Drosophila melanogaster: one gene and its partners. The gene in region 3 interacts genetically with the main gene of each other region. Each region holds a gene or a part of one and is shown on either strand. Other genes may lie near its edges. The genes, in order: Abp1, dock and Hem.

Region 1 (5,478 bases), 8.8 Mb from region 3:
TCGTGAATCATGACTGGAGCACGCAGAAGGGTCTGCGACTGGATACACTGAGAGGAGTTAGAGCCCAATAGCAAATCTGAATTCAAAGATTAAATGTAATATGGCAAAATGTGATAACAAACAGCACCTCTGATTGGTAGCATACGAAGTATGTGAATAATAATCAGATTACATTTGGGAATTCATTAACTAGGCATGAAATCGTTTGCAAAACGTTTTGTTACATTTTGTTTCTTTATATAATGTGACTTTGATAGTCTAGAATATAATGATGTTTTTATGTAAGCAAAAATCTTGACATCTATTAAGACTTATCAGTTTAGCAGACTTGTAGAGTTTTCCAAGTTCATTCACATTAAATCCATTCAGAAATTATTTTAAATTTGTAAAGAGCTACTACTAATTTGAATCACTGCTTTACATTCCCATGAATGTTTTAGACGCAAGATGTTCATATTACTGGGCATTTCTTTCTGTGTCTGACACATTGTTGAAATACTTTCCGAGTCTTCTTGGCTCAAAGGTGAAAGCCATAAAAGAGCTGTGTATAACCCCCACCCCCACTGCCCCGTTTGGGTTGAGTACATCAGGGCATGTTGTTGGCCAAGTTGAAATCATAAAAATTGTCGACTCTTTTTAAACGGAATTGGTTAATGGCTCCAGTTGGTGTTTTTTTGTTGGTCTGTAAGTCTGGGTCGGATCGGTTTGTTCACTTACCGCTGGGATTGTTTTGCACCATGGTCGCCGCTCTAGAGAGTACATCCAGCGCCGTTTCCATGATGATCTCAACGCTTCTACGTGGGATTGGACGTGGATTTGGAGTTGGACTTGGACTTGGTTTCGCTGCTCCTGCACCGACTCGATCTGCACCGCATGAGTTTCACACTGAAAATGCAAAGAAATTGACCATGAACAGCCGCACCACACACACTTAAGCCGCACACACATCTCTCTCGTATGTGTGCCTTACAATATATACACCGAGATATCCAAGTGAAAAACTGGATATATCGCCCGAGCCTGGCATTGGCATATATGTAAATGGAACAAAACCAAAACCAAAGCCAAAACCAAACCAAAGCGAACAAAGACTGACTGCCTGACTGGCTGACTTGAAACAAGTAAGACGAAGGCGAAATCCTGCTGCCAAACAGTTGCCATCTGATCGGAAAGCTGTGGAAGTGGATGCTGATGAGGGGACATGCACGGTGGCGGGGCGGTGAGGGGCCACGATGCACTTGGGACTGGTTTTTTTCGGAGGCCCCAAGACCAAGAGTTCGGGGGCTGCTCCGTTGAATATTTCGGCAATGACCAAAGTACAGCAGCCAGAGCCATATTGTTGCTAGCCAGTCAGCCAACCATACAGCCAGCCAGCATCCGACGTCTAGTTTCCACATTAATATACGTAAATATCAGGCCACAACAGTGGAGCCACTTTACCTTTCGCCAGGTGTGCGCCTTCAAATCCTCGCTGGAATCCTGCTCCTCAGCTGTACGGCGATTTATCCTCGCTAATTTTCACCGACTTTTCACGATTTGCGCTGGGAAAAGCGGGGGTTCGATGATTTTTGGTATAATTGCAATAATAGTTCAGTTCGCGTTAGAGCTGGAAGATACGTCGATGTAACATCGATGGCCAAAGTCATCAGTCTGTATTCACATCGATATTTGCTCAGCCTTACCAACACTAATATTGTTCAGCGGTGACTTAAGCCCACATATAACATTAGCGTTGACTCGAACCATTTTTAGAAAACTTAATGTACAAACAATGTAAACATACCTAACAACCTAAAACATATTATTTGTCAATAGTATTTGCAAAGTATATTATAAGCAAATATAAAGGTTATGATATGAATAAACACCATATACCAGTTTTTTCCATTGGATAGAGATACAAAAAAGTTGAATAAAATATAAAAACGAAAAATGTTCGTATGTGTGATTATTAAAAAAGAAGATAATGCTTATATATATAGTTGAAACTTTACGACTAACACCTATAAGAAAAACGATAAAGTAAATCAAAGCCTATTAGACGAGGTACACGTTACTAGATACGTTCTAAAACCTCTGTTATTTAATTTCAATTTTACAAGTAAAAACCATCGATAGCGGCACAGTGGCAACATTGAAAGTATCGATTAGACATCGCCTGTTGTCCCAGCTCTAGTTTGTTGTTGCAAAAAAAGTGTGTGGGTCGCCGCCAGCGATCGAATATTTTAAAATTCCAATCAAATTGGTTAATTGGGGAGTTGCAATTGCTTGAGCGTTAAGTTAAACCTATTTCTGCACGCATAACTCGAAGGATTAAGGTGGAAAAGTGGAATTTGGAAAGCCGCTGGAAATTCGCACATACTGGAAAATCAATCACCCACTATCCCATTGTTCTGCTTGTGTTTGTGTACGTCTGTGTGCCTTTGTGAGGCGGCTGCACTTAATTAAAATTTAAGACAAGACAACCCAAGCAAATTTGGAGTCTTCGCGAGGCGTTGGCTTTCACTTGACGAAGAGGGCACCCCGATAAGGCGACCCAGTGAAAGCTGGCCAAGATCTCGCTGCTCAAGGTCGTTGTCAGTCTGGAATTATGGCCGTCAGCTTCGAGAAGAATCGGGCGCAAATAGTGGCCGCCTGGAAGGATGTGCTGGACGATAAGAGCGACACGAACTGGTCCCTCTTTGGCTACGAGGGTCAGACCAACGAGCTGAAGGTGGTGGCCACCGGCGATGGCGGCGTGGATGAGCTAAACGAAGACCTAAATAGCGGCAAGATTATGTACGCCTTCGTCCGAATCGAAGACCCCAAAACGGGCCTCAACAAGTACTTGCTCATCAACTGGCAGGTGAGTCCGACGGCGCCCTTATCTAATCGAGCTACGCATAATCTGACTGTGCTCCCATTCAGGGCGAGGGCGCACCTGTTCTACGCAAGGGTACCTGCGCCAACCACATACGTGATGTGAGTAATTTGCTGTCCGGCGCTCACCTTACCATCAATGCCCGGAACGAGGACGATATTGACTTGGATCGGCTTCTCAAGAAGCTGAGCACCGTGAGCTCAGCCTACAGCTTTAAGGAACCTCGAGGCGCCATGGAGGAGCAGAAGGCGCCGGTGGGAACCAACTATACTCGGGTCATTCCCACCAAGGAGTTAAACGCCAGCGTTATGCAGGACTTCTGGAAAAAGGAGGAGGCCGAGGAGAAATTGCGACAGGAGGCAGAGAAGGAATCCAAGCGGCTTGAGCTTCAAAAGTTGGAGCAGGAGCAACGTAGTCGCGAGGAGAAGGAGCACAAGGAGCGGGAGAAGTTGGTCATAAGCACCACCAAGCTCCAGCCGGCCCACGTACCCATCAAAACGTAAACAAAAACATCGGAATTTGACCTTCTCGGTAGTAAAAATTCTTTTTTTATCAAACAGGTCACCGCAACCTTTGAGCCCTGAGAAAACTGCACCAGGATTTGCCAACAATCTGACCGATGCGGAGCGCATGCGTCAGGCGAGGAACCAGGAGGCCCGCGAATTGATTGGCTCTCGTGTGGGTGCTGCCAAGGCCATGTTTACAAAGCACACGAGCGAGGGACAACTTCAGTCTAAGTGCGTCCTTGCCCCTCTCCTATTTTGTTGTATCAGAAATAAACTGCTCTTTTGATTCATAGACTAAATACGCAACCGCCGGCCAAACCAGCTCGCAACTCGATTGCCCAGCGCATCAACGTTTTCAACCAAAACCAGCCTCAAGATGCACCTGTGCCTTCACCACCACGCGCTGCGTCCCCTGCCAAACCGTTGCCTGTAGAGGCTCCCGAACCAGTAGTCCCCGCTCCAGCTATAGCTCCTGCTGCTCCCGTGGCTGCCGAGGTTGTTTCCACAATAGCGGAGGTGGAGGAGTCGCAACCGGTAGACGATTTGCCACTGGCCCATGAGAGCGAACAGTTCTCGACTATCAAGCGATCACCCCATAGTAAATCGAACTCGCTGCAGTCTCAGTCGCCCGACGAGACCACCTCTTCCAATGAAACAGACACCGCTGTTTCCCAGGAACAGGAAGAGGAGGTCCGCACCAAGGTGTCAGTCACCGTGCAGCAGTCGCAATCGGTCAAGTCGAGCGGCATGAGCACACTCGAAAGGAATGCATGTACGTAAACCATAGCTATGACCCGTTGTTCGTTCTATATTTAAACACGAGTGTTTTTTGTAGTAACGGATTTGGTAAACGAGGACGATTTTATCTGCCAGGAGACCTTAGGCGATCTGGGACAACGGGCACGAGCTCTATACGATTACCAGGCAGCCGACGAGACAGAGATCACTTTCGATCCAGGCGATGTCATTACGCATATCGATCAAATCGACGAGGGATGGTGGCAGGGACTGGGCCCTGATGGAACCTATGGACTGTTTCCGGCAAACTATGTCGAGATCATCAACTAGGGAAACCCAAGTGCCAAGCAGCTGGGACGCCCTTTTGCTAAATATCTACACCAATGCAGCTAGCAACTATATTTTGGATCCGGACTATAGCTACTTAAACACTTTACCCCATAATCTTGAACAATAATGCGATACACCTAGAAGAGATTCAACGATGACTAAATGCGACTATAAGATTTTTATCGTACATCACGCGTCTGTTTTTTATCTACATACATATTATTATATAACGTATAATCCATGCCACATATGCAACCCTATCATACGTTGTTCCCATTTGTATACATATTATATCATTGTTTGGCCTCGATTGCCGAAGCCGTGTTGCGTCCTTTTAAAATGTTCTTAGGATACATACAAAGTAACCACTTAGTCAGTATTTAAGGCCCGCTCCATTCCCGATCCAGGGTTCTTTTGTATATGTATTATTGATCGAGATTTATAACCTTTTCGATAATAAACTTTGATAATTGTGCAACCGAAGGATAACACAGTTTTATGGTCAACAATATCTACATTTATTTTCGCATTAATTAGTAGCATAAATAGTTATCATAGTTTTTTTTTTTTTTCTATAAGAGTTTACGTTCGTTTAACAATTCACCTGCAGCAAAGCCGTGAGTGGTGCACTCGGCGTGATTGGATGGATGAGTTGGCCTGTGGCAAGCAAGCGCGTCTGCTGTAGATTTGTATGAGATCATACGGCGGCTTGCTGCCCCTGTTGCTGCTCATCGGTACAATTTACGTATAAAAACTGGACTCAGGTTCAAAAATATCCTCATGGTGATCATCTATCGCTTAAACATAATCAGCTCTTTTAAGTGAAGCAACCCTTGTTGCCAAATCGTTTTCGCTCTGTTAACTTCCGAATTCTATGCAGGCACATTTTCTCAATATTAATTCTCTTACTAGCCTATAATCTACGCTGTGTGGTGTGTGTGTGTGTGTGTGTGTGTTATGATGTGTGGGGATGAGTGGGTGTTGAGTGGTTGACACGTGAGATTTGCATATGTTTAGATAGTACGGTTGTGCTTCTACGAAATA
Region 2 (7,898 bases), on a different chromosome or scaffold from region 3:
AAGGTCCTTTGGCCGTGGCTATACGTACGGGTCGCGTTGAACCAACCGATCTATATACACACGCTGGTCTGATCTAATCCAAAACTGAGTCCATAATTAAATATCCAAACCGAACTATATTGAACTACACGTCGCGCTGAGCTGAGCTGCCTACAAGTTAGCCTTGGTATATCTTTGTGTTGCATATGTGTGTTGTTGAATACGGGTAATATGAATGCTGAGATTTCTCTGCTCCAGTCCTGGACCTGCTTACGTGCCATTGGCCTTCGGCAGCGATCGCACCAGATACAGCTTTTCGCCCTGCTTATTCGTGTAGATGGGCGCTCTTTGGTAGTGATCGACCAGTTGGTCCAGCGAGTGGAACTTCCTCTGCCCAATGCAGTACATGTTCTGCTCCACGTGCACGCGGAAGTGCTTGTTGCGCCCTGGGGCCTTTAACGAAACCGAATAGTCTCCCATCTGCAAGAAAGGATGAATTCGTTTATACACTCTCAAAGAATTCGGGCGGAACTATGTTATGGCACTTCAATTGCGAATTCCACTTACGTTAGTCTCACTGTCTCTGATGAGGAAGTCGCCATCGTGCCCGTGGCCGTTGAGCACCGTGTCGCACTGGCTGCGGGTGATGGCTCCATAATACCACGACTTGCCCGCCAGATTTGGCCGCTCGATTGGCTGGCCGGAAGATTGCGCCGCCGGCTTATTACCCTCATTGCGCCGCTCCATGGAGTCGTTTCCTCCGCCACCACCTGCGCCGCCATTACTTCCTCCTCCATTTCCGTTTCCTGCACTGGCACTCGCATTACGATAGGGCGTGGCCAGGTAGTCGTTCAACTCTTGGAGATAATTGCGTGGAACTAAACCGACTTGGCCCTGATTGTTGCGAGCTTTGTACCAGTCCGGATCGGAGGCGGGCCGATCCACGATCTCCAAGCGATCGCCCTTCTCGAACGAGAGCTCCTGGTCGTTGTTTGACGTGAAGCTGTACAGCGCGACCTATATATTTGAAAATAGTTGTTATTAGCCAATAATGACAACCTCTCATAGATGATGTGAATGTTTATTTTGAGAACACGTCCAGTTACTCACCACAATATCAAGCACGTTCTCGGCCATTGCGTAGGTGTGGATCTCGCCGTCGTTATCACAATCCTCCGTTGTGTAGTTGCTGGGGAACCAGCCGACGGAATTGCCGCTCTGTCCACGCCACCATCCATCGTTGGACTTCTCCAGGATGAGGATTCGTGTGCCCTTGGTCAGCGAAAGTTCATCGGGCTGCTGGGCCTGATAGTTATACTTGACCACAGCCGTTCCGATGGCCTCTGCGGGATCTGGGGGAAGTCGGCGCGACATGGTTGGACTCTCGACCTGTCGCGAAGGCGAACAATTAGGCAGTGTCTTCGATCCGGAGCCCTTTTTCACCTTCTTCTTAATGCTGCACAGAAATCGTAAATCAAAATATTCACGATCAGTATTGGGATGAAGTTTTATGGTTAGATTTCATTGGCGGTTTAAAGTGGGTTAGACTAGCCCTAGTTGGTTTGGGTGTTAGTGGATCTTTAGTTTTTAGGGGCAAGTGGGGCTCGACAGACAACGAAATCAAAACGAATTTGTTGTTTTGAAATACAAAATACAAAAGCCGAAAGCAGTTATAAGTTAAATTACGATAGCCAAAGCAAAAGGTGGAGGCGGGTATTTGAACGCGATAGAGATACAGATACATCTACGGATACGGATACAGATACAGGTATAGAGGGCTTAATTCTGCTGAAATCAGAGCAAGAAGAACGCTTAGGTTTAGTCGGGCCAGGAATCTGACGCACCTGTCGAAGAGCGAGGGCTTCTCCTTCTTCACATAGTTGCTTGGCACGTAGCCGGACTGGTTGCGACTGTTCTGGACGCGCCACCAGTGCTTGGAGTCGTCCAGCAGCAGGTAGCGCTCGTTCTTGCGCAGATCCAGCTCCTGGGCACCCTGCGCCGCATAGTCGTACTTGGCTACCACGTAGCAGACGTCGTCCTGAGATTTGCCTGCGGAGTGATTAACAGGAACAGGTTAGAAGAGTACCAAGTGCACACACAGTTAGAAAAGCAAAATGGGCCAGTATGATAGAACCACAAATTCATTAGCATACAAATCCTAGATCCTTTTACTACACCCAATGCTCTTCTCGCTGTGAGGTTATTGTGTTGCAGTTGCTCACCGTGCTTCATGTTGCCCGCCATTGATTGGGTTCCAGCGTTGCCGGCGGCACTGCCACTGGAGGAGTTGCCGCTACCGCTTCCGTTGGCGCTTCCGCTGCCGTTGCCGCCGCAGTCGAGCGCTGGCTGGCCGAAGGTCACACTTTTGTGCTGGGCGCTGCAGGAGGAGGCGGTGGACAGGGTGCGGTGGTGGTGCAACTGCTGTTGCTGGGAGAGCGAAGAGTGCCGCTGGTGATGGGCAGGTGAGCCGGGAACGGGCACGGGCACCTGGGGACGGTACTGGTAGATCTGATTCTGGTTCAGGTTCTGATTCTGGTTGAGATTCAGATTCTGGTGCTGCGGCAGCTGTGGCGGATGCTGCTGCTGCTGCGGATACTGCTGCGAACTGGCTGAGGAGTCGGGGATGTTGCGCACAAACCGCTGGGGGTGTTCCAACATTCCAGACTGGCTGCTCCTCCGCCGCGGGGGGATTCCTGCTCCTCCAGCTGGGACTGCCCTGATGCTCCTGGTGATGCTCCTGGAGGCAAGAGGCGGTGGCTCAGTGTTGGTGGACTTGGAGTTGGGGTTGGAGTTGATGAACAACAAGTCTTTGATGGTTTGGTTATGTGTTGCAGTTGCTCGCTGGCACTCTAAGCTTGCTGCAAATCGCCTCTAGCCAATGCATAATTGCTGTGGGCGTGGTTTCAGGGGGCGAATGGGCGTGAGCGTGGGCGGAAGCGTAGGCGTGGCAAAGTAAACATAAGCAACGCAATAACATAAGCAACGAACGAAGAAAGAAAGAAAAAGAGAGCAAATGATATATGCAAATTAGGCTTAATTGTTTCGCACTGAAGAAGCTAAAGAGCGTAAAAATGATTAGCTTAAAAAATACAATGCAAGTACTCAAACTCGAAATACCAAATAGGAAATCAACTCAAAATTAGCCGAGAGATGAATGTTTGTTTTTGGGGTCAGCGAGCCGGCGATGAAGATGAATGAGTGAAGTGTTTGTGTTGTGATGATCATGATGATGATAATATGAGCGGGAGATGGATATGGGGGCTGAGGGATCTGGCCATTCCAGTTGTGGGGCAATTAAAATCTGTGCAAGTGAAAGTTGCCTCCGACTGACTCCACTCAATTGAATCCAATTGCCAGGCGAGCGAATAAGTGGCCATCGGGTATTGATTTGTTCAACGGGGCAGCCTCACCGAGGCTGGAGAACCAGAGACTCAAAATCCGGGCCATTTCAGGCCAAGAAAGACACAGAAATCAACTGAGACATTCGACCGCAATGAGTCACGAACGTGAATGGTCGGGGGTATTGGGAAATTGGTTTCTTAACCGAGATTTACCGAGTGACATAAGGCAGTTAGCGGGCGGCACAGAAGGTTATTTCGGCCAGAGATCTCTAGAGAGGCTTCCCGAGTTCGTTGGCCAGGTTGGCGAGCCAACAAAATCAAAGTCAATGTCATAGCCGAGGGCCATCTTTGGATAATTAAAAATCAATAAGTGTGGGCCACGTTGAGAAAACGCTCTACTCGGTCTTTGACTCTAGGCCAATCTTGGTTTCGCTTTTCAATGACTGTTAGGTCATACACGAGAGGCTGAGTCAGCTGAAAGTGTTTTCGAGAGCTCTAATGCCATTCAATTCTGGCATTTCGGTGCAATATCTATTAGCAACTGACCCATACGTATATAATAAGAAATGCAGGCAATGCATAAATTTGTTTTGCCGGTAAACTTCTAATCGTGCTTCCTGTTCGAATTTTGGCCATAATAATCTCCATGTGATAACGAGTGTTTTTGTTTACTTTACCATCGATTAGTCAAAGGTTTTTGCGTTAGCTAGAGATACGGAGAAGTACCTGTTTAACCGAAGCATTGGTCGCAAAGTGATTCACTGTTGTGCGAATTGTCTGTGTGTTTTCCCTATTTTTTGAGAGGAGAAAGCGGGAGTGAAACCGTAACCGAACCCAGATAGAAACGGAGAAAGAACCCGAAAAAGATTATATTTATGCAAATGCTGGAGTGATAAGGGGGCGGTTCAGTTCGGTTCGCTTGGGGACTTGGTAAACATGAAACGCCTGGCTGGCTGGCTGGCTGCCAATGAACTGAAATGCACCACCGTTGGATTCGGATCGGTGTTTGGATTTCTTTGGCTTGGTGATTGTTTTGTTATTGTTTGCGCTTGCATAAGCCCAACAGCCGAGACATTGACATTACACTGCTGATAAAATCCGAAGAAATCGGAAGGAACTTGCTGATAAGTTCGTTAGCGCGGAGAAATTGTCAAAAAATATATTATGAACTATGATTTGATAAGATTCCCTACTGCTACTGCAATAAATGAATATATATTTTTAAAGAATTCTTTGTGGTATGATTTCTTAGCTTCCCGTATGACAAACATTTATGTTTTTTTCCGGTGCACTCGTTCATTGTTTTCCTGACAGCAGTTCGTCTTTTCGCTGAGAGAAAGAAAGAGTTGCACGTGCTTGGGGGACAAGCCCACAAGTTTATGAGGCGGAAAGTTTGTTTCCCCGTGCTGTGTCTGTGTATTGGTTGAAGATCGGTTCCAGACGAGGGAGTATAGTCATTGGTCCCCAAGAAAAGCCATCACGAACGAATTGGTGGCCCCGAAACGGGAGCATTTGGGTCTATAACATTGAGTTACGACTTCGGTGGATGGATGGGGCAGCCATGGAGGAACTGAAAGTGGGGCACTCTTATCTGGATCTCGGGGCGTGGGAGGCAAAGGGCAGCCTGTTTACATAAGATCACTCATTCAGGGAGCTGGGAGTCCACTCCCGCCCGGGTTGATTAAGTAGATGCTTTTGCTGGGGAATGGGATTCGAATGGGGTTTCGGTTTCGGTTTTGTTTTTTGTATTTTGTATTTTTTTTTTGGCTTTTGTTGCCGAGGGAGTTTGCGACATTTGCCGGCCGTTTCGTTTAGAGATGCTGCGCAAAATCTCTGCGAGGTGGTGGCTTTTTGGCAGCGAGAGGGTGGACTTCTCGTCCTGCAAAGGATGGCAGGACTCGTTCCCAGTGTTGTTAAGAGTACAAGCTTTTGTACCTGGCACAGGCTTTTGAAAAACACAAGTACCTACTATAGTAGTATTTGAGCAATGAACATATTATAGATTTATGGTAAGTGAAGCATCTTCACGATTTATCTGTTTCATCTATCTAGACAAGGGAAAGGGTACATATGTACACACATATATATCGGTGGCACAGTTTGCCGTAAACACGACCATGGTTACCCAAAAAAAGGTGATGGAAAGCGGAGGGCTAAGGGTTGCAGCACCGCCCACTGGGCGGGTGGTGGACCGAGCCAAAGGACTACGCACCACCAGGTGACGAGGGCGAGATAAAGAGAGAGAGCGCAGGTCAAGAGAGAGAGAGAGAGAGCCGAGAGAGAGAGCCGTGAGAGATTCGAACAGGAGCTAAAAAGGAGCAGCCGAATATTTTGTGTGTACCTACCGGAGACGAAGCGGTTGGACTGGCAACTCCTATATTCCTCCTGGATCTCCTTATCCTGGCACTCCTTATCCGTATCCGTATCCTTATCCGGAAAGTCGGAGTCCGTATTTCTCGGTCTTAACCCTTGGCAATCCTCAGGATTTGGGAGTGGAAGACATGGGATAAGACACTGCTCCTGGAACTCCTGGAACGCACTCTATATCACTTCCACTTTCCACTGGGCTATTGCACTTTACACACACTTAAAACACAACTTTAATTATAATACACCTAGGCGTGAGTGTGTGTGTGTGAGTGGGGCGGGGGTGAGCCTGTGTGTGTGTACATATGCTGCTGCCGCGATTGAAAAACACACAAATCCTGACAAATAAACGCTTTTCCACGCTTCTGATTACCGCACACGTTAACTGCGTTAAGTGGCAAATTGTTTGCACAATTTTGCAGCGCTCTCTTGCGGTTAACTAATTAAATTTTAATGATTTTGCCGGAGCCGTTTCTTTCACGTCGCCCATCCGATTTCGATGTGCGGAAGGCGATAGCGATTGACCACGACCAGGGCTGTCAGGTGGCGTATCAGCGGTTTTTCTTAGCGAACTATCGATAAGCACGTTGCGCGCTGTGCAGCACTTGTCCGGTCATCGGGTCTATCGATATCGGGTGGCGTTTTTGTTATGATTTTGGATTACATGGTTGGTTTAACCCGAAATACCATGCTGAAAACTCGGGGTATTGTGCTTGGCATCAGCAGGTCGTACACCGCCAAGGCGAAGAGGGGTGTGCTGGCGCAGGACAAGTCGAAGATCAAGGAGTACTCACCGAAGACGACGGACAGCCATGAGCACCGAGTTTACGTGTGGGGCTTTCAGGAAACCGGCGCTCTCGGTCTCCAGACCAACGTGAAGAAGGCCAAGGAACGCTACACGGAGATGGTGCACCATCCCACCCGCTTGCAGTTCTCCAACAACAACGAAATCACGGATGTGGCCGCCGGCTACGGGTTCACGGTCTACGCCGTGAATAGAGATGACGGAGAGACGCTCTTTGGCAGCGGTTTGAACACCGACTCCCAACTGGGTTTCCAGGTGAAGGGAAATCCCAATGATCCGGCCAACCTTGACGTGATCATTTATCCTACAGCCATTAAACTGCCGAGAGTTCAGGGAGAAACAGACGAGGACATGCGTGTGAAGAGCATGTCGGCGGGTAGAGCTCACCTGGTGGTTCTGACCCAAAACGGAACCATTTTCACCCTGGGAAACAATTCGTACGGCCAATGTGGCCGCTCCATCATAGAGGAGGAGCGGTACAGCAAGAGTGCCCTGATCCACAGGATATCGCAGGAAGATATATGCGGCAAGGAGGATGAGGTGGTCCAGGTGGAGTGCGGCCAGGACCACAGCATGTTTCTTACCAAAAAGGGACGCATTTACACATGTGGCTGGGGTGCGGATGGTCAAACAGGTCAGGGAAACTACCACACCGCCGGGCAGATAACCCTGATTGGAGGAGATGTGGAAAAGGAGAAGATTGTGCGGCTCAGCTGCTCCTCGGACTGCGTTTTGGCCCTTAACGAGGCGGGCGATGCCTTTGGCTGGGGCAATTCTGAGTACGGACAGCTAGATGACTCAGAGCTGGCCGAAACCCAAATAAATATCCCTAGAGCTCTCAAACTAACGAAGTCCATCGGGAAAATCAAGGATGTGGCTGCGGGAGGCTCATTTTGCATGGCCCTCAACGACCAGGGTCTGGTGTACACCTGGGGCTTTGGCATCCTCGGCTTCGGACCCTTCGTGGAGCAAACATCCAAGCCGCAGCATCTGTTGCCGCCTTTATTCGGACGAAATGACTTCAGCAACGAAACCACAGTGGTTTCCATCGGATGCGGAGTGTTTCACATGGGCGCCGTCAACTCGGACGGAGATCTCTTCATGTGGGGCAAGAACAGGTTCGGGCATCTGGGGCTGGGACACAAGAAGGACCAGTTCTTTCCCTTTAAGGCGGCCATCAACGGAAAGGTCACCAAAGTGGCCTACGGAGTGGATCACACCATTGCCTTGTGCAAGCCGTTCTTCTAGATTAAGCTGTTTGTTTTAGATTAGTTAACTTAAAGTATACTCTAGTCGAAAATACTATTGCCAGTGGCAGCCCAACCAATAAAGATCACACTGCTAAAGATCACAAATTCGCGTTTAATACATGTAAGTAGTTTAAAGAACATTTAGATTAATTTACT
Region 3 (6,676 bases):
ACTGAAAAGGAATACATTTTCATGCGAAACCAAGTAAAACCAAATCAGTGAGAAATGCTAAATAGATTGTACGAACTAGCAAAATATTCAGCATCACATAAATAACAATACCTTCTATAATATTAATAAGCAAGTATGTGTATAATTAACGAAACCCCATTGTAGATATCGAGAATGTTCACAAATACAGATGTAAACTCAAATATTGACAGCTTTTTAGCAGAGTGTAGTGATTTTGGTACATTTAACCGAACCCATTTGTAGATGTTTAGGCCTATGTTGATTACGAGCAGATTTGAAAAGATGCCCTACTTACCCGATTTCGGTTTGCAAAACTTATCATTTAACCATCCGTGAAAAAGAACCTATCCCAGATCATGTAATTCAAAAAGAATTAAAAACAATAATAAATCATTGCATAAAAGTCTTTGTATCGGAATTGAAAACTCAAAATCGAAATTTAAATACTACCAATGATAACTACTGAGAAATCATATTACAAAATAACGAAAACATATTTTACTACTTGCCTACAAGTATTTGTACACAAGCCTACAAAGTAACATTGAACGTGACCAAATAATTTAATATTGCGGAAGATTTTTCCCCCAAACTCATATTTAATATACACACACGTGTGCGCATGTGTCCAAATGAAATTTAACAGAAATTGAAGCGGAGGAGCTGCACGTTCGCGGGAGTGGACACATATTTCAATAAGCCGAAATAAAGAATATACATACCGATCCGATCTAGAGACAGCTTATTAATGTGGGATACTTATTTGGGTTGTATAAGCACTTTATTCGAAGTCGTACGAGTATAAAAATGCAGAGTCTAGAATACATTTGGGTATGTTTAACAGTTTTAAAGTATGTTAGATTAGCATAGTGATCGATAGTCGATCGGCGGATAAACTACATAAGCATTATGTGGAATACACAGATCGGCTCCATTTAGAGTGCCAGCCCTAAGATCTGTTCCTGCTTGTATACGCCATGGTACGCGTTGCGTATAAGCACGTAGGGAAAGCAGGACTCAAGCAGATCCATTGTGAGGAAGGGCGATTGTTTGACGATTTCGTCCAGCAGCAAATAGATGGACTCTCGGTTCCGTGTCGCCTCTTTGTCGGACTCCTGGCCCAAGCGCAGTAGGGAAGAACTGGCCAGAGCAAGGAACTCTTTCATGCGGTCCTCCATGTCACTTTGACCGCAGATGGTAAACAGGGCTCCGAAGATGTTATTAATGGCCGCCGCCATGCAGTGCGTGTTATTTGAGTGGCCATCAATTGTGGCTCTGTAGAAGGAATTTTCGTTACGGGCCAGTTTTGGTATAGACACTGCCACAAAGACCATCAGTAGACAGGCAGTGAGGTGCTCACCCTCATCGAATTCTGGCTTTTTTGATTTCAGTGTAGTTGCTAATGTGGGGTCTACCTTGCATAGCAGACCCGCTGCTGAGGCCATCTCGGAAGCAACCCTAATTTGGTCGCCTCCGGGCAAATGTTCCTGAAAGTCCTTCACTGAGCTAAGCAGGAAGGGTATGCGCTTGTCCAGCACATCAACGAGGGCTTCATGCACCAGGTTGCGGAAACATATGATCACACCAATGATCGTCATGCGTTGCAGCACGCGGTCCACGTCCTGTAAGCGCTTAAATTGCTCCTTCATCACTTCAGGTTTGTCAAAACTGGTTCGCAGTGTAATGAGCACTTCCTTGTTGGTGCTCACCAGCGACTTCAACTCTTGCACCTGGTTTGCTATGTGCCACATAAGTGTTTCGTTCAATGTTTTGATACCGTAAGGTCCCACAAGTTCTGCAAGTGCTCGCAGCTCGTTGAGATCAGAGAATTCCTGCGGGTTAAATGGTACCCAGCCCTCGGGCGAAATGGGAACAAAAGCCTTTTGGTTAATGGAGAACACAATGTTGCCAGCGGAGACACGCCTTAGCAGAACCTCACTGTACCAGGTGTTGTACAAAGCGGCAATGGTTTTCTCGCCATGAGAGTCTAAAGCCTGTGTTTGCTGCAACAGGCAGTTGTTGAAAACTCGTGTTATGTCTATGTGCACGTAGTTCTCTACTGTCTGCAGCACGTTCATGTAGGCTCGAACGCTGGCCAGCAGCTCCGAGGGCTTGGCTATCTCCATTGTCTCCTGGTTGAACATCACCATGCCAACAAGATCCCGGGAAAAGCGGTGTTCCAGGTTCTGACAGAGATACTCGCGAGGGGCAAAAGCAAACTCCCAAACGTTGACCGTGGGGCAATAATTGATTGCAAAACAAAGCTCCGTCAGGGCCATGTGCAACTTGTCCATCGTCGTCAGATCCTCTCGTGTCTTTCGGTACGACTCGTCTCCCGGCTTTCGTATGTCGTCAAAATGCTTAGACTTCGATTTGTCCTTCTTCTTACGAGCAGATTGTACGGAAAGAATCTTAGCACAGTGTTTTGGCAATAGAGCGTCTGCCATTGTGCACTGCTCATCGCAAATTGTGGTTATAATGTTTTTAGCCTCCTTAGCCATTTCCTCAAGAAATATATTTACCACGCTGAGAGACCTTTCACGTATATGGTGTCGCTCCTCCGGGCACATTTCGTGCGTACAATTTTGGAAGTGGCTGCAGATTAAGGGAAACGCTATGATGTAGCGGTTCTGCGCGGGAAACTCCAAGCACATGTGGAATTGGTCGTCAAACATTTTGTTATAGAAACAGAAGATACTGAGATCCGAGGTTTCTACTAGTATTTCGTCCAAGTTATCTACCACCCTAGTGTGGAAAACCATTGAATCCAGTAGGCGGGCCAGCTCTGCATGCTCTGCGATCCTAAGTGCAGCCTTTCCCACACTCATGTACGTTTGGAGGCGGAACCAGTCCAGGCGGAATGGTCGGAAATAAAAGAGTTCGTTGTCTTCCACCTGCTTAACTGTCAGGGCTGCAGCCGTGTTGTAGAGCGAACTGAAGATTATGCTTTCGTCTTCTGGACACATTTGCAGACTTTGCATTCGAATATTAAGATCCGTGGCATCGAATCCGGACAAGTATTGCACGTAATATCGCTGCATTACCTGGCTGTATTTACGCACAAGAGCGCGGAGTTCCTCCATGTGGAATAAGAGCTCCGGCAGCTGTCGGTCTACAAGATCTTCATTGCTCTTTCCTATAAATTTAAAATAGTTAAGGTTCACAAATTTTAATTTAATCGTAAGAAAATCCTTAACTAACCTTTATTTTTGAGAAGAGGTGGGTTGTCATTATGCCTGAGGAGCCATAGAATCTCATCGCGCGCAAGACAAAGACCGATGAAAATGAATATTGCCTTAGGTCCCAGGAGGCCTGGTTGGTCGGTCATAATAAGAGCTAGCTCCTTCAAGGCTGTTCGAAGAAACTTGCGCCGCTCCCGATGCATTAAAGCAGCTTTTTGAACCGCCGTGTTGTAGGCTTCCTTTACTTCTCCGATCCGCTTGCTGTAACCTTTAATTCCGTCGAAAGTAGCCTGAATGTATTGATGAATTTGCAGGACCTCGTCGCGGAACAAGGCCACAACCCAGCTTGACTCCAGGGCGGAGAGCCAGATTTTGTTGACTTCCGGGTACTGTCCGAGCATTTGATGGTTCAGCAGCAAGCCAAAGATTATCCAGCGGTCCATTGCCTCCAGGGATATGTACTCGCAGGACATGGTGTCAGTGCGGACGGCCTTAAGAAGAATGGCCGGATTGCCTACCAGACTCAACTTTTGCATTTCCCTCCACTTGTCTGCTGGCAGGTTTCGCAGTGCATAGATGGAGGTCAGCGACCGCAACGCACTGGTTAGCAGGCGCTGGTGGGGAATGAATTCCTCGGCCAACTTTTTTAAGGGGACCTCGTAGTCCAGAATCATCTGCCCCAAGCGGGGGAAGCCCGTGTCCGCCTGATTGTTTTGCAGCTCGTAGGCGGCATTGTACAAGCCCAGAACTGCCTTGCGGTCCTCGACCCTAGACAAAACAATCATCAAGGACACGTAGGTCACAACCAAGTCCAGATAATATTTGGTCAGCTCGAAGTTCAATGTGATGTCCAGGTGAATCTGGCAGGCGTCCATCGTGGTGAGCAGTTCGCATACATTGTCCTTGAAATCAAGTAGGTCCACGAATGTGTGGTAATACAGGGACAGCGACTTAATAATCTCCGCTTTGATGTTTACAATAGCATTGAGCCCTTTGACGTCGATGTTGGGGAACCGCTTCACGATAAACTTGATGCTCGATTCCAACGACTTCTCGGAGAGGAAGCCTGGCTTCGACTTGGTGTCGCCGCATGCTTTCTTGATGTTGTATATCCGCGTAAGAATGCCCAGGCCGCGGTCATTCAAGATGATTAGTTTCTCAGCTATCTTCTGCTGGTTCGGAAAAATTGGGCGTGCCATATCCGATGACTGTTGGCGACGTCGAATGGCTGAAGGCGAGTTTCCGGTGGAGCCCAGAACACAGGTGTGCGCTGGCGAGACGTATTGGGAGGCGTGCAAGTGCTGATTTGCCCAGTACTTATACTTTTTCGTTTGTTAAATTGGCCGAAAAGGAGCGACACAAAAGTGTACACATTACTCTTCCTCTTGTTTTCGCGTTAGTGATGACCAATGGGCTGATAGCAAAGATATATTGCTATCGATAACGATAGCTACCATATATATGCTAAACTATTGATTGTTAAAAAGAAAATATACTGCTGAGAAAAAAAACATATGGCTTAATATAATTTAAGATAATTTTTTTATAATTATATATTACAGTAATTTGGTTATACTACAAATTAATAATAGCTGGTATTTGGGGTTTTAATTTATTAGAATTATTTGTCTAAGTCAGGAATAATTGCTTTCAAAACTATTGCATAGTTTATTCATTCAATTGCCAATGGCTTTCTTACTTAGTAACTTACAGTTCAGTTTTTTATTCTTATGGCTAACAAATTTATTAAAGTTGTTAATAGTAAATAAGCCTTTCTTTTTTTTTCAGTGCTGTCGTCAGCTGATTATCAAGGATGCCGCTCATCGGAACCTACTATCGATATCGCGAACCCATGAGCTAGAGAGCGATTAATGAACCACTAGTTCCGTACCTCGGGCACGTTGTGTGCCACGCAAAAACGCCGCAAGTCAGTTGAATTTCTGATATAAAAGGTGGGCGAATAAGCTCTGTTACTTGATAAATAATACAACAGTGAACTTTGACAGCCATGGGAAAAAAACTAGAGCGGAACGACGTGTGTCGGGTGCCAGAGAACATTAATTTCCCGGCCGAGGAGGAGAACGTACTGCAGAAATGGCGACACGAAAATATCTTTGAAAAGTGCAGCCAGCTGTCGAAGGGAAAGCCCAAGTAAGTGCCGCATACGATTGCATCAGCCGATCGCCAAATTTTGTGCTAATTTTCCACCTCCAAGATACACGTTCTACGATGGACCGCCCTTTGCAACCGGGCTGCCCCACTACGGACACATTCTTGCTGGCACCATCAAGGACATCGTCACACGGTACGCATACCAGCAGGGATACCATGTGGACCGTCGCTTCGGCTGGGATTGCCACGGACTGCCCGTGGAGTTCGAGATTGACAAGCTGCTGAATATCAAGGGTCCTGAGGACGTGGCCAAGATGGGAATCGCAGCCTACAATGCCGAGTGCCGGAAGATTGTCATGCGTTACGCAGATGAGTGGGAGAATGTGGTGACGCGCGTGGGTCGCTGGATTGACTTCAAGAACGATTACAAGACGTTGTACCCATGGTACATGGAGTCCATTTGGTGGATCTTCAAGCAACTGTTCGACAAGGGTCTGGTCTACCAGGGCGTTAAGGTGATGCCCTATTCCACCGCCTGCACAACGTCCCTTTCGAACTTCGAGGCCAACCAAAACTACAAGGAGGTTGTGGACCCTTGCGTAGTAGTTGCACTGGAGGCCGTTTCGTTGCCCAATACCTTCTTCCTAGTGTGGACCACCACGCCATGGACACTGCCCTCAAACTTCGCATGCTGTGTTCATCCGACGATGACCTATGTAAAAGTGCGCGACGTAAAGAGCGACCGACTTTTTGTTCTCGCAGAGTCTCGTCTCTCTTACGTGTACAAATCGGAGACGGAGTACGAAGTGAAGGAAAAGTTTGTTGGCAAAACCCTTAAGGACCTTCACTACAAGCCGCTTTTCCCTTACTTTGCGAAGCGAGGAGCTGAGGTGAAAGCTTATCGTGTCCTGGTCGACGAGTACGTGACTGAGGATTCCGGTACGGGTATTGTGCACAATGCTCCCTACTTCGGAGAAGACGATTATCGTGTGTGCCTCGCTGCGGGCCTCATCACAAAGTCCAGTGAGGTTCTCTGCCCAGTGGACGAGGCAGGACGGTTTACTAACGAGGCAAGCGATTTCGAGGGCCAATACGTCAAAGATTCTGATAAGCAAATAATGGCCGCGCTGAAGGCACGAGGAAACTTGGTTTCCAGTGGCCAGGTGAAGCATAGCTACCCATTCTGCTGGCGGTCAGACACGCCTCTTATCTATAAGGCGGTTCCTTCCTGGTTTGTGCGCGTCGAGCACATGTCTAAAAACCTGCTTGATTGCAGTTCCCAAACGTACTGGGTGCCGGACTTCGTCAAGGAGAAACGTTTTGGAAACTGGCTGAAAGAGGCCAGAGATTGGGCTGTAAGT

What was found.
Region 1: of Hem (region 3) and Abp1, changing one enhances a phenotype caused by changing the other (phenotypic enhancement), as found in Drosophila melanogaster (one study listed by BioGRID).
Region 2: of Hem (region 3) and dock, changing one enhances a phenotype caused by changing the other (phenotypic enhancement), as found in Drosophila melanogaster (one study listed by BioGRID).

What each region holds. Positions count from the first base shown.
Region 1 is NT_037436.4:13,482,970-13,488,447, reverse strand, and holds Abp1 (actin binding protein 1), read left to right. Parts: upstream 1-2,167; 5' UTR 2,168-2,590; coding exon 2,591-2,845; intron 2,846-2,907; coding exon 2,908-3,359; intron 3,360-3,420; coding exon 3,421-3,597; intron 3,598-3,659; coding exon 3,660-4,138; intron 4,139-4,201; coding exon 4,202-4,434; 3' UTR 4,435-4,915; downstream 4,916-5,478.
Region 2 is NT_033779.5:824,275-832,172, reverse strand, and holds the start of dock (dreadlocks), read right to left. Parts: upstream 6,205-7,898; 5' UTR 5,666-6,204; intron 2,869-5,665; exon of another isoform or gene 2,717-2,868; 5' UTR 2,638-2,716; coding exon 2,202-2,637; intron 2,029-2,201; coding exon 1,824-2,028; intron 1,436-1,823; coding exon 1,090-1,435; intron 997-1,089; coding exon 547-996; intron 460-546; coding exon 250-459; 3' UTR 1-249. Other genes in the region: CG3862 (uncharacterized protein), read left to right, coding at 6,376-7,740. UniProt on the Drosophila melanogaster protein: Adapter protein that links cell surface receptor tyrosine phosphorylation to downstream signaling pathways and effectors, many of which are involved in regulation of the actin cytoskeleton.
Region 3 is NT_037436.4:22,283,586-22,290,261, forward strand, and holds Hem (HEM-protein), read right to left. Parts: upstream 4,611-6,676; 5' UTR 4,403-4,610; coding exon 3,223-4,402; intron 3,158-3,222; coding exon 957-3,157; 3' UTR 769-956; downstream 1-768. Other genes in the region: IleRS (Isoleucyl-tRNA synthetase), read left to right, coding at 5,212-5,354, 5,419-6,670. UniProt on the Drosophila melanogaster protein: Plays a role during growth of the oocyte.